Linked DNA regions of Xenopus tropicalis. The protein of the gene in region 3 interacts with the protein of the main gene of each other region in a pairwise test. Links are inferred from orthologs where the notes say so. Each region holds a gene or a part of one and is shown on either strand. Other genes may lie near its edges.

Region 1 (3,656 bases), on a different chromosome or scaffold from region 3:
GCCCTTTATTCATTGTATTTAGTGATTATACCGGCATGTCTAGGGTTAATATGTCCTTTATTCATGTAACTTAGTGATTATACTGGCATGCCTAGGGTTAATATGCCCTTTATTCATTGTATTTAGTGATTATACCGGCACGCCAAGGGTTAATATGCCCTTTATTCATTGTATTTAGTGATTATACCGGCATGTCTAGGGTTAATATGTCCTTTATTCATGTAACTTAGTGATTATACTGGCATGCCTAGGGTTAATATGCCCTTTATTCATTGTATTTAGTGATTATACCGGCATGTCTAGGGTTAATATGCCCTTTATTCATTGTATTTAGTGATTATACCTGCATGTCTAGGGTTAATATGCCCTTTATTCATTGTACTTAGTGATTATACCGGCACGCCTAGGGTTAATATGCCCTTTATTCATTGTATTTAGTGATTATACCGGCATGACTAGGGTTAATATGCCCTTTATTCATTGTATTTAGTGATTATACCGGCACGCCTAGGGTTAATATGCCCTTTATTCATTGTATTTAGGGATTATACCGGCATGTCTAGGGTTAATATGCCCTTTATTCCTTGTGTTTAGTGATTATACCGGCACGCCTAGGGTTACTATGCCCTTTTTTCATTGTATTTAGTGGTTATACCGGCACGCCTAGGTTTAATATGCCCTTTATTCATTGTATTTAGTGATTATACCGGCACGCCTAGGGTTAATATGCCCTTTATTCATTGTACTAAGTGATTATACTGGCATGCCTAGGGTTAATATGCCCTTTATTCATTGTATTTAGTGATTATACCGGCACGCCTAGGGTTAATATGCCCTTTATTCATTGTACTTAGTGATTATACTGGCATGCCTAGGGTTAATATGCCCTTTATTCATTGTATTTAGTGATTATACCGGCATGTCTAGGGTTAATATGCCCTTTATTCATTGTATTTAGTGGTTATACCGGCACGCCTAGGGTTAATATGCCCTTTATTCATTGTATTTAGTGGTTATACCGGCATGTCTAGGGTTAATATGCCCTTTATTCATTGTATTTAGTGATTATACCGGCACGCCTAGGGTTAATATGCCCTTTATTCATTGTATTTAGTGATTATACCGGCACGCCTAGGGTTAATATGCCCTTTATTCATTGTACTTAGTGATTATACCGGCACGCCTAGGGTTAATATGCCCTTTATTCATTGTATTTAGTGATTATACCGGCACGCCAAGGGTTAATATGCCCTTTATTCATTGTACTTAGTGGTTATACCGGCATGCCTAGGGTTACTATGCCCTTTATTCATTGTACTTAGTGGGTATACCGGCATGCCTAGGGTTAATATGCCCTTTATTCATTGTATTTAGTGATTATACCGGCACGCCTAGGGTTAATATGCCCTTTATTCATTGTATTTAGTGATTATACCGGCATGCCTAGGGTTAATATGCCCTTTATTCATTGTACTTAGTGGGTATACCGGCATGCCTAGGGTTAATATGCCCTTTATTCATTGTATTTAGTGATTATACCGGTACGCCTAGGGTTAATATGCCCTTTATTCGTTGTATTTAGTGATTATACCGGCACGCCTAGGGTTAATATGCCCTTTATTCATTGTATTTAGTGATTATACCGGCATGCCTAGGGTTAATATGCCCTTTATTCATTGTATTTAGTGGTTATACCGGCATGCCTAGGGTTAATATGCCCTTTATTCATCGTATTTAGTGATTATACCGGCACGCCTAGGGTTAATATGCCCTTTATTCATCGTATTTAGTGGTTATACCGGTACGCCTAGGGTTAATACGCCCTTTATTCCTTTTATTTAGTGATTGTACCGGCACATCTGGGGTTAATATGCCCTTTATTCATCGTATTTAGTGATTATACCGGCACGCCTAGGGTTAATATGCCCTTTATTCCTTTTATTTAGTGATTGTACCGGCACACCTAGGGTTAATATGCCCTTTATTCCTTTTATTTAGTGATTGTACCGGCACACCTAGGGTTAATATGCCCTTTATTCCTTTTATTTAGTGATTGTACCCGCACGCCTAGGGTTAAGCTGGCCATACACGGGCCGACTATAGCTGCTGATATGGGTCCCTTGGACCGATTCGGCAGCTAATCGGCCCGTGTATGGGGGGAGCAGAGCGGCCTGGCCGACCGATATCTGGCCTGAAATTGGCCAGATCTCGATCGGCCAGGTTAGAAAATCTGGTCGGATCGGGGACCGCATCGGCTCGTTGATGCGGTCCCCGATCCGACTGCCCCATTGCCGCCCACATAATCCGATCGTCTGGCCCCAGGGCCAAACGATCGGATTATTATTTTTTTTACCTAAATGGTCCCCGATATCGCCCACCCGTAGGTGGGGATATCGGGGGAAGATCCGCTCGCTTGGCGACATCGCCAAGCGAGCGGATCTGCTCGTGTATGGCCACCTTTAATACGCCCTTTATTCCTTTTATTTAGTGATTATACCGGCACGCCTAGGGTTAATATGCCCTTTATTCCTTTTATTTAGTGATTGTACCGGCACATCTGGGGTGTGGTATGTAGGGGTGTGGCCACAAGGGCCGTATTAACCATACAGGTGCCTGCGCCTAGGGAAGCACCTTTAGGGGGTGGCCCTTTGGAGCCTACGTGAGAAAAAAAACAGTTAAAAGCAATACCCCCCCAGCCTCCCCCTGAACACTTACCTGGGGCAACACCAGCTGCTCATACAACCCTGAGGCTACAGGAAGAGGAGGGATTTGGGCAGATTGGGGGCGGGGCTCTTCAGGTTGGTTGGGGGCCCCTAGATGCACCACCCCATGTGAGCTATTGACCCTACGTGGGTGCTAGTGGGACAGAGAGGGTCAGGGCACATATGTTGCTCATCTGATTGGAGGTTGTATGATCCTTCCCAGGTGCTGCTTTGTGATTGGCTGCCTGACGTGATGGCCGGCTCCTCTGGGGCAGAGTTTATTCGCATCAGGAGGCGGGACTTGGAGCGCCTGACGACGGAGGTGATGCAGATGAAGGACTTTCTGCCCAAGATCTTAAACCCGGAATTGGTGGAAATAGTGCAGAGACTTGAGCAGGCAGAGACTGGTGAGACCCCTATCCCATTCCCATCAGCCCCTGCCCCAGTGAGCTTACAATCTAAGGTCCCTATCCCATTCCCATCAGCCCCTGCCCCAGTGAGCTTACAATCTAAGGTCCCTATCCCATTCCCATCAGCCCCTGCCCCAGTGAGCTTACAATCTAAGGTCCCTATCCCATTCCCATCAGCCCCTGCCCCAGTGAGCTTACAATCTAAGGTCCCTATCCCATTCCCATCAGCCCCTGCCCCAGTGAGCTTACAATCTAAGGTCCCTAACCCATTCCCATCAGCCCCTGCCCCAGTGAGCTTACAATCTAAGGTCCCTATCCCATTCCCATCAGCCCCTGCCCCAGTGAGCTTACAATCTAAGGTCCCTATCCCATTCCCATCAGCCCCTGCCCCAGTGAGCTTACAATCTAAGGTCCCTATCCCATTCCCATCAGCCCCTGCCCCAGTGAGCTTACACTCTAAGGTCCCTATCCCATTCCCATCAGTCCCTGCCCCAGTGAGCTTACAATCTAAGGCCCCTATCCCATTCCCATCAGTCCCTGCCCC
Region 2 (3,656 bases), on a different chromosome or scaffold from region 3:
TGCACACTAGACATATAAGAACAAAGCAAATATTTTTGCTTTGTTCGGTCCATTTTGTCTATTCTAAAACAAAATGCAAGTTATGTTTTATAAATAAGTATTGTTTTATAGGATAATGGCTTATAACTCAGAAGGTAATACTGTGGCAAGTACTGTACAAATGGTTATAAACACTAACTTACAGTTTGGTTTCTGCCAAGGCCAGTTTGTCTCCAAGAAGCTGAAGCTCTGAGTCCAGATCTTGGGCATGTACTTGGGACTGGAATTCCTTTTCTTGGTTAGACACCAGCAATGCCTCCAAATTCTTTACTGAAATTCTTTCACTGGCAAGTTGCTTTCTGAGAAGTTCAATATCTGAGCGTGATGATTCTAATTCATCCTGAAACTAAAATTCACAGACCAATGTTTAATATAAGGAACTAGATGTGTTAGATTTAATACAGTGTGAAACCAATAAATATTTTTTGCCACAGATTCAGTTCTAAAAAAAGATATTTAAGAAATCTATTTTACCATTCATGTCTAACAAAAGTTTGCTTGTGTATAAAATATTACAAACAAAATACTTATAAGACAAGTGCTTTTCCACCATGTGACTTGGTTAAACAACAGTGTGAATCACCTGCCATAGTGCCGTTTAGAATATACAAATCATGGGGAGAGGGGAGTTAACTCTATGTGATCTTGCCTGACAAGACAAGCTCAAGAATGACAAGCATATATTATCTCTAGGGAATAATAATGTAAGTATTAATAATACTGAGACCAGTCTTTTGCTATTTATGTTATGTGACACAATTGTTTTGACAGTAGATTATCCATTTCTGTCTGGGCAGACTCCTCACCAACTCAGAATGTGAATTTAATGTTAGATGTTTTTTAGAGCAGAGATTTTTTTTTGAATATGTGTCTAGGGCCCTGTGTGGTTTCCTTTATGATTGCTCGAGCCCGAAGACTCATGCAATCATAGATCAGGCCCTTTGACTTGCTTATATAGCTGTGGAGAATGTTGTAGTTATGGTTATTTTTCAATGTTGTGTGTACTGTAATGGCCTTTTAATAGACATTTGCCCACATGGTATGCCTTTCTGTGTAAGATTTGTCTCTTGTGGTAAAGTCTGTGCTACTACTGGCAACAAATCTCCCAGCAAGCAATTCTGCTTATTGGTGGGGAAATGCCTTCCATTGGCATTTTCTTGTGAATAAGCCAAATCACTGCAAATAATTTAATTTAATGTTAGCAAAGGGGAGGGAATTTTCAGATCTGATGCCCACGTTGGCATATATTTACCCATGGGCAACAAAACTTGCCATGTGCCATTATCCTTATGGTGATTTATCTGGGTTATGTATTCCTTGGACAAAATGTTGCTAAACTGTGAAGTAGCTATAGGAGGCAAATAATGAAGCCCTGCTGTTTGAAATTTAAGGCTGAATGCTTACTTACTACCTTAGATATTAGTGGAGCTACTAAAGCATTGTAATAAGTACCTCAGAATCAAACTAACAAAAATCATATAAAGAAACAATAAAAAGATGTTTCATATATGCAAGATATCTGTGATTTCATATACAGTGACACCTCAATTTTACATACCCAGATTTTAAATTTACCCTCATGTTACACCGTTTTTTGCGTTTCCACAAAAAAACGTAAAAGTAAAATGGGTAAGCCTACATTTATCTAATGAGTGTGTACGTTTGTATGTATATATACTGTGACATGCTGACTGCCTGTACATGCAATTTTGGGGGAATTAGCAATGGTAGGCAGGCAGGCATGCAGAGGATCTGGAGCAGGTTTATTTAGGGCAAGTTCTTCCCAACAGAAACATAAGACAGTTCATCAACACACAGTTCAGGGTTGTGATATGTCCCTTCTTCAGGGTTCTCACCTTCCAGGGTTAGTTCCACTCTCTGGAACACTCAGGCTTCACATTACCTTGCTGAGCCCTCTCAGCACTCATCCATCGGGTCATAACTCCCTCTGCTCCCTGCAGTGGCAGGTGGCACCCCCAGCTCCTCTGGGAGTCCCTGACACAGGCAGCCCTCCTGCCCTGTGCCCTGCTCTGAGAGTGACCTTCACTCAGTCAAGGTTCAATTCCAATTCCCCACCCTCTCTGTAAATCATACAGCCCTTTTATTGGCTGCTCACCTGCAGCCTAATCAGGCAGCTCCCTACAGCTGGCCAAATCAAAAGCTTAAAGGGAGATTTACTCCAACACAGCATTACCTGCTGTAAAACCAGGTAATTTACCTGGTGCCATTTGTATTCCACCTTAAACACTGGTGGAAATACAACAAATAATGACCTTTCCCATTGCATCTCTCACAATATATATATAACTATATGGTCTGCAAGCAAAGTTTTCAGAAACCATTATATTTGCATTCTTACAGAGAAAGAGACTCACTTTTACATACATACCCTCTCAATATCTTGGTTTCTAGCACAAAGATGGCGGTTAATAACTTCTTTGCTTGTGTCCAGCTTAACACAAAGCTCCCTTGTAGATGCCAAGTCTTCAAGAATTGTAACTTTCTCAGCCTTAGCCTGGCGAAGCTCTTCTTCCACCCGTGTAACAGATTTGGCCAAGTTAGACATCTGGGACTTATGGGACTGTTCAGAGGTTATATACTGCAAACACACAATGCAGTATACATTTGCTCAGTATAATGCAAGAATTCCTAATAATTCAGTGAATGTATATTAAGCATCAAATGTGGTAATGAGGCAACAAAAATATTTTCATTTATGTGAATATTGAAAATAGTGTCTAGTTTTTATCTCTGTCTCCCTATGATACACAAAATGGCAAAGAGCTATGGTAATTCTTTTTTTCTTGCATAAGCACATTCCACTTCTCATCCTACAAATATTTTGTTCCTCTCCTTTATACTTAAGGGTTGAGATTGTGTAACTTTTATATTTGTCCTTCAGCAGAACCAAGGAATGTTCTCTGCCCTCAAATATCAATCTAATTTTCTCAGTATATCATTTGGTTGTTATTATTATAAATCAATAGAATGTAACTACACTTTATTCAGAATATCTATGTCCAAAGGGGAATATATACACAATATCAAAGTATGCATTTACCCTTCTCAACCCCTCTAGAAAATGGCATGAAACACCAAGGTTTTTTAACATTTCCTGCTTTTTTGCTTCAGAGATGCTTCTTGAGGTAAACCTTTGTTTTACCTTGGAAACTATATACCTTTTGAAAGACAAAATATGTTTTCTAAGATTTGAGTGTTGTATTAAAGGACATGTCAACCCCAAAAATAATTTTTTGCCTAATAAAAGAAAATATTGCAATTGAAAGCAGCGTTTATTTGTCACTTTCTGTCAACTGATCTGTATAACTTAGCCACAGTAATATATTTAGTTTGCTTACTTGCTCAATCTCTTTTTCAAGCGATTCTACTCTTTCTTTCAATAATCTGCATTCGGATTCTTTACCCATGAGGTCCAGTTTGGCAGAGCTACTTTCACTTTCCATTTGGTGGAACTTATTCTCCCAACTTTCTGACTGGGCAGATGCTCTACGATAGTTTTCTAAAAGATCTCGATACTCCTTTTCCTATACAACATAGGGTAGAAATGTAGAATTTAAAGTGGAAATAAATATAAAATCAGTTGGCTGCAAGAGTAC
Region 3 (4,350 bases):
CAAATGCTTTACAACTAACATTGGCTGCATTGTACTAGTCTTGTCATTCAAGCAACAAGATGGATAAGAAAAAGGATTTAATACATTTGGGCGCAGCGCCTATAACATGGCCTTTACTTCCTTGTTTACGCATACTCACTCAGTAGAGCAGGTACACAACCTCTTTTACCTATGAGTCACATTCAAATATAAAAAGAGTTGGGGAGCAACACAAGCATGAAAAATGTACTTGGGGATAGCAAATAAGGGCTGTGACTGGTTATTTGGTAGCCCCTATGTAGACTGACAGCCTCCAAGTCAGGAATTAAAAAATAAGCACCTGCTTTGAGGACACTGGGAGCAACATCCAAGGGGTTTGGGAGCAACATGTTGCTCAGGAGCCACTGGTTGGGGAACACTGCAGTAGAGGATCCAGAAAGTATGTAGGGGTGTTCTCTGAAGCCATGTATTGTATGGCATGAAACAATTGTACAAGAAACTGTAATTATATCTACAGGACTGGATTTCTCTTTAGGCACTCAGAGGCTAGCATCCTCAGCTTCCCCCCACCCCTCCCACAGGGTCGCGTCCTACATCTGGCGCACAGGGGACAGGGTGCATGGAAACCTCCCGTGCATAATCCCCAGTGCCCTGCATGTAAGTAAACTTCATGTGTGGCTTGGGCGGCATGCCGGCCCTGAATGTGTGCTGCCCTAGGCCTAATCTTCATGGCCTTGCCACAAATACCGGCCTGTATATCTACAAACATGAAGTTCTACCTTTAATTGTCCTTAAAAACTTGCAGTAAGATGATCAAATAGGTTAAATAATTGATTGATCTTAATTTGTTCTGTTGTGGTGGGAATATAAAACAACAGTACATCACCCCATACCAGCTGCCATTCTCTTGCTATGCACATTTCTATAAATATAATTTTTAGTCATTTTGCACATCCCTACCCTAATTGCTATATCTTTTGCACATCCCATACTCCTAGGCATAAAAAGTATATACATGGAAATAAGGTGCAATTGTTAAATAAGAATTTCATTTTAAAAAGAATGATTTTCTTTTTTTAATGTGCCCTTGTTGATCAAATAATACTTCTATTTTGCTTTTACCCCCAGATTTTACCCATTGCACCCAATAATACTGGAGGCCCAAAACAAATACACCGTTTGGTTTTCACAAACTGGCAGAGTTGTTTACACTACCTAGTTACCAATACCTACAGACGGGCATACCAACATGCAAGAGATGGATTGCTTTTGCGCATGCGTATGGCCTGCATTCTGAGCAGGCATTTCCTGGGACACCTCTCGCGTTTGCGTCCTTGTTGTAGATGGTTCCGGCTCGCTTGGCTCTTTGGTCCTGTGTGAGATCTGAGCAGGCATTACATAGGGCAGCTTGGCCCTCCTGGGTCCTTGCTGTTGTCGGAACAGGCTTTCGCTTAAGCAACACCACCAGTAGGTTGTACGCATCCTCGGGAGTAGTGAGGAGGCGGAGGAGGAGAAGAAGAAGATGGCGGACGTGCTGAGCGTTCTGCGTCAGTACAACATCCAAAAGAAGGAGATCAATGTGAAAGGAGATGAGGTTATCTTCGGGGAGTTCTCCTGGCCCAAGAATGTTAAGACCAACTATGTCATTTGGGGGTGAGTATGGCGCAGAAGCGGGGAGCAATCGCTGTCATTCTGTCCTTCCCCTGTTTGGGTGCTCACTAGGCATGTGCAACACACACACACACATACACACACACACACACACACACACACACACACACACACACACACACACTGCACTGGCCCCGGGCCAAGCACAGACAGATTTATCCAGGTAACTCCAACCTGTAACTCGTGGTGCCTGTGCAACTACAGCTCCCAGCATCCCCAAATTCTGTCGAAGTTTTGAGGGACTGTGGCAGCTGCCGTTTATGAGCAAAAGTAGAATCCCACCCATAGGAGTTCGGCATAGGTTTCTGTAGCGCCCAACTCGGCAGCGATCACTGTACTACAACTCCCAGAATCCCAGGACAACCTTATTCTGCCCAAGTGCTGCTGAGAGCTGCACAAAGTCCCTGAAATCACTACTGACTATATGTGTATGGCACACTCTCCCCACTTGGGCAAATAGACTCCTGGCATTGCCTCTTATTTATATCGTTACATTACTATTCACACATGCTGTACATCCATACCTTCCTCCTCTTACTATCTGTGTCTGTATGTATCCATTGTGACTAAATGTGCCTCCCCACAACTTACTGAACTACAAATCCCAGCAAGTGTAAAGCTTTAATAGATGCTTAGGATTGTGGGAGCTTTAGTCAGGCAGCATCTCTGGCCTGCACACATAGTATTTATGCTTTCATGTTTGCATAGAAAGGTAACATCAGAAGGATACAGTTACACAATAGTATTATTTTTATGTATGTAAAAGTAATGAGATTTTGAAAAGCTGTACAGGTGCTTTTTTCATGCAAGTTAGTCCTCCCCAGCCCAGATTAAAGGGGAAGTTCACATTATCAAAAACATAGTCCTTTTGTGTAGTTAGGATAATTTTTAGGTATTTGGGAATTGGAAAAGGCGAATTTACTCATGGATGCCAATATGTGAGGCACCCATCAGGGAATTAAAGCCCTACTTTTTTTTTACCTTGGAGAAAGAGCACAACACAATGCAGCCACCTACCCTGACCCAGGTGTCCCAAGCACAGATTTAAACAAGAACTCAAAAATTAATATATATAGAAATGCTTTATTTTATTTTTTTTTTAAACATCTTTTTATTGGTGACTATAAAGGCAATACATGCTACAGGCAGTACGATTCCTTATAGCACTTTTCAAATAGATATAATTTAAAATGTCATACTTTATATATTGAACTTATTGAACACCCCTAAAGGGTTAGCGTTTCTGTAGTAGTAGTTATTATTGAGGACTTCAAAATTGTGCACAGGAGCTCCCAATTTTAGATTGTTAGAAGTGTCAGTAACACTGCACATACTCTGTGTTCTCAGAGCAGCTGTTCTGTTGATAAGCTAAGCTTAGTGGTTGTTACAAATTTTTGAGCAGAAAATGTGTTTTGCCTGTCATAGAAGCTGATGCTGCAGGGTTGATTATTACATACTGATGCACATTGCACTGGTATCAGAGCTGCCCTGTACTAATAATCTGTATTATTGTGACATTTATACTGTGTACATGCACTGTTTTGTAAGTTAGTTCAGCACAGAGCATGTGCAGTGCGTCAGCAGAAGGAAGATGGGGAGCTACTGTAGGTATATTTCGGGGGACAGATCCTCCAAGCTGAATGGCTGTTGTTGCCTTGTGTTGGTACAGAAGCACAAAACATAATGTGCTGCATTTCTGCTCTACTTCTCAAACTTTAGTTCTCCTTTAAGCCCATGCAAGTGCAGTGGAGCACAATTAAAAACTTTTACTCTGTTGTACAGGTATGGGACCCGTTATCCAGAATGCTCAGGACCTGGGGTTTTTCCGTAATTTGCATCCTCATATTTTACTTAAAAATCATTTATAAATTAAATTAAGCCAATTGGATTGTTTTGCCTCCATTAAGGATAAATTATCTTAGTTGGGATCAAGTACAAGAAACAGAGCAAAAGGAAATATAAAATTTTTAAAATGTAAGTTCTTTCCTTAAAATGGAGTTGATGGGAGATGGCCTTTCCGTATAACTGGTTTCCAGATAATGGGTCCATACCTGAACATTTCAAAGGCTATGTCTGAAGAGGGACAGCTGGGAAATGCTGGTAACCTGGCTGTGTTGCTGCATTACTTTTTCCCCCTGGCTGGTTTTATTTTATTTTTTCCTAAAAAGAGCATGGATGGAAAGTATGGGTCAGGGACCCCCCCTTCCCACATGGATTGGATAGAGGCGTACTTGAATAAACACAAAGCAGTCAAAAACATTTTTGAAACATGGGAATCTTTTATTAGTATAATTCCACATGCACTGAAAGTTAAAATACTGCTTTAAAACTACCAATTGGTATATAACAGACTCTGAGAGGTAACCCACCTATACAATTAGAAACAGAAAGAGAGGTTAAGGCTGATGCCACACGTGGCGGTTTTACGCTGCGTATTTTCTAATTCTCTCGGCGGTTGAAAAACGCACAATATCATCATCCATAGAAATAACTTAAACAGTCTCGATGCTAGAAATACGCTAGAAAACGTGTCACCACGGAATTTTCATGCGTTTGCCGAAATACGCCGTTATTTGCACAGCAACCTATTCCTTTGTGTACACAAAAGCAGCTGCCAGACCTTGAGGAAATATGCAGCGTTTTTACTATTTCGCACTATTAGCACCATGGGAAACGGGATTTGCTACGTCACCAGTACTA

The links.
Region 1: the proteins of cdc73 (region 3) and hsf2bp interact in binary tests that used the Homo sapiens proteins (3 or more experiments, as listed by UniProt). The link is inferred for Xenopus tropicalis from reciprocal best matches to the Homo sapiens genes CDC73 and HSF2BP.
Region 2: the proteins of cdc73 (region 3) and tsga10 interact in binary tests that used the Homo sapiens proteins (3 or more experiments, as listed by UniProt). The two-hybrid records come from large-scale screens. The link is inferred for Xenopus tropicalis from reciprocal best matches to the Homo sapiens genes CDC73 and TSGA10.

What each region holds. Positions count from the first base shown.
Region 1 is NC_030678.2:1,553,711-1,557,366, reverse strand, and holds part of hsf2bp (heat shock factor 2-binding protein), read left to right. Parts: intron 1-2,925; 5' UTR 2,926-2,955; coding exon 2,956-3,109; intron 3,110-3,656. UniProt on the Homo sapiens protein: Meiotic recombination factor component of recombination bridges involved in meiotic double-strand break repair.
Region 2 is NC_030678.2:112,861,961-112,865,616, reverse strand, and holds part of tsga10 (testis-specific gene 10 protein), read right to left. Parts: intron 3,585-3,656; coding exon 3,399-3,584; intron 2,639-3,398; coding exon 2,429-2,638; intron 386-2,428; coding exon 183-385; intron 1-182. UniProt on the Homo sapiens protein: Plays a role in spermatogenesis. When overexpressed, prevents nuclear localization of HIF1A.
Region 3 is NC_030680.2:113,579,984-113,584,333, reverse strand, and holds the start of cdc73 (parafibromin), read left to right. Parts: upstream 1-1,491; 5' UTR 1,492-1,501; coding exon 1,502-1,632; intron 1,633-4,350.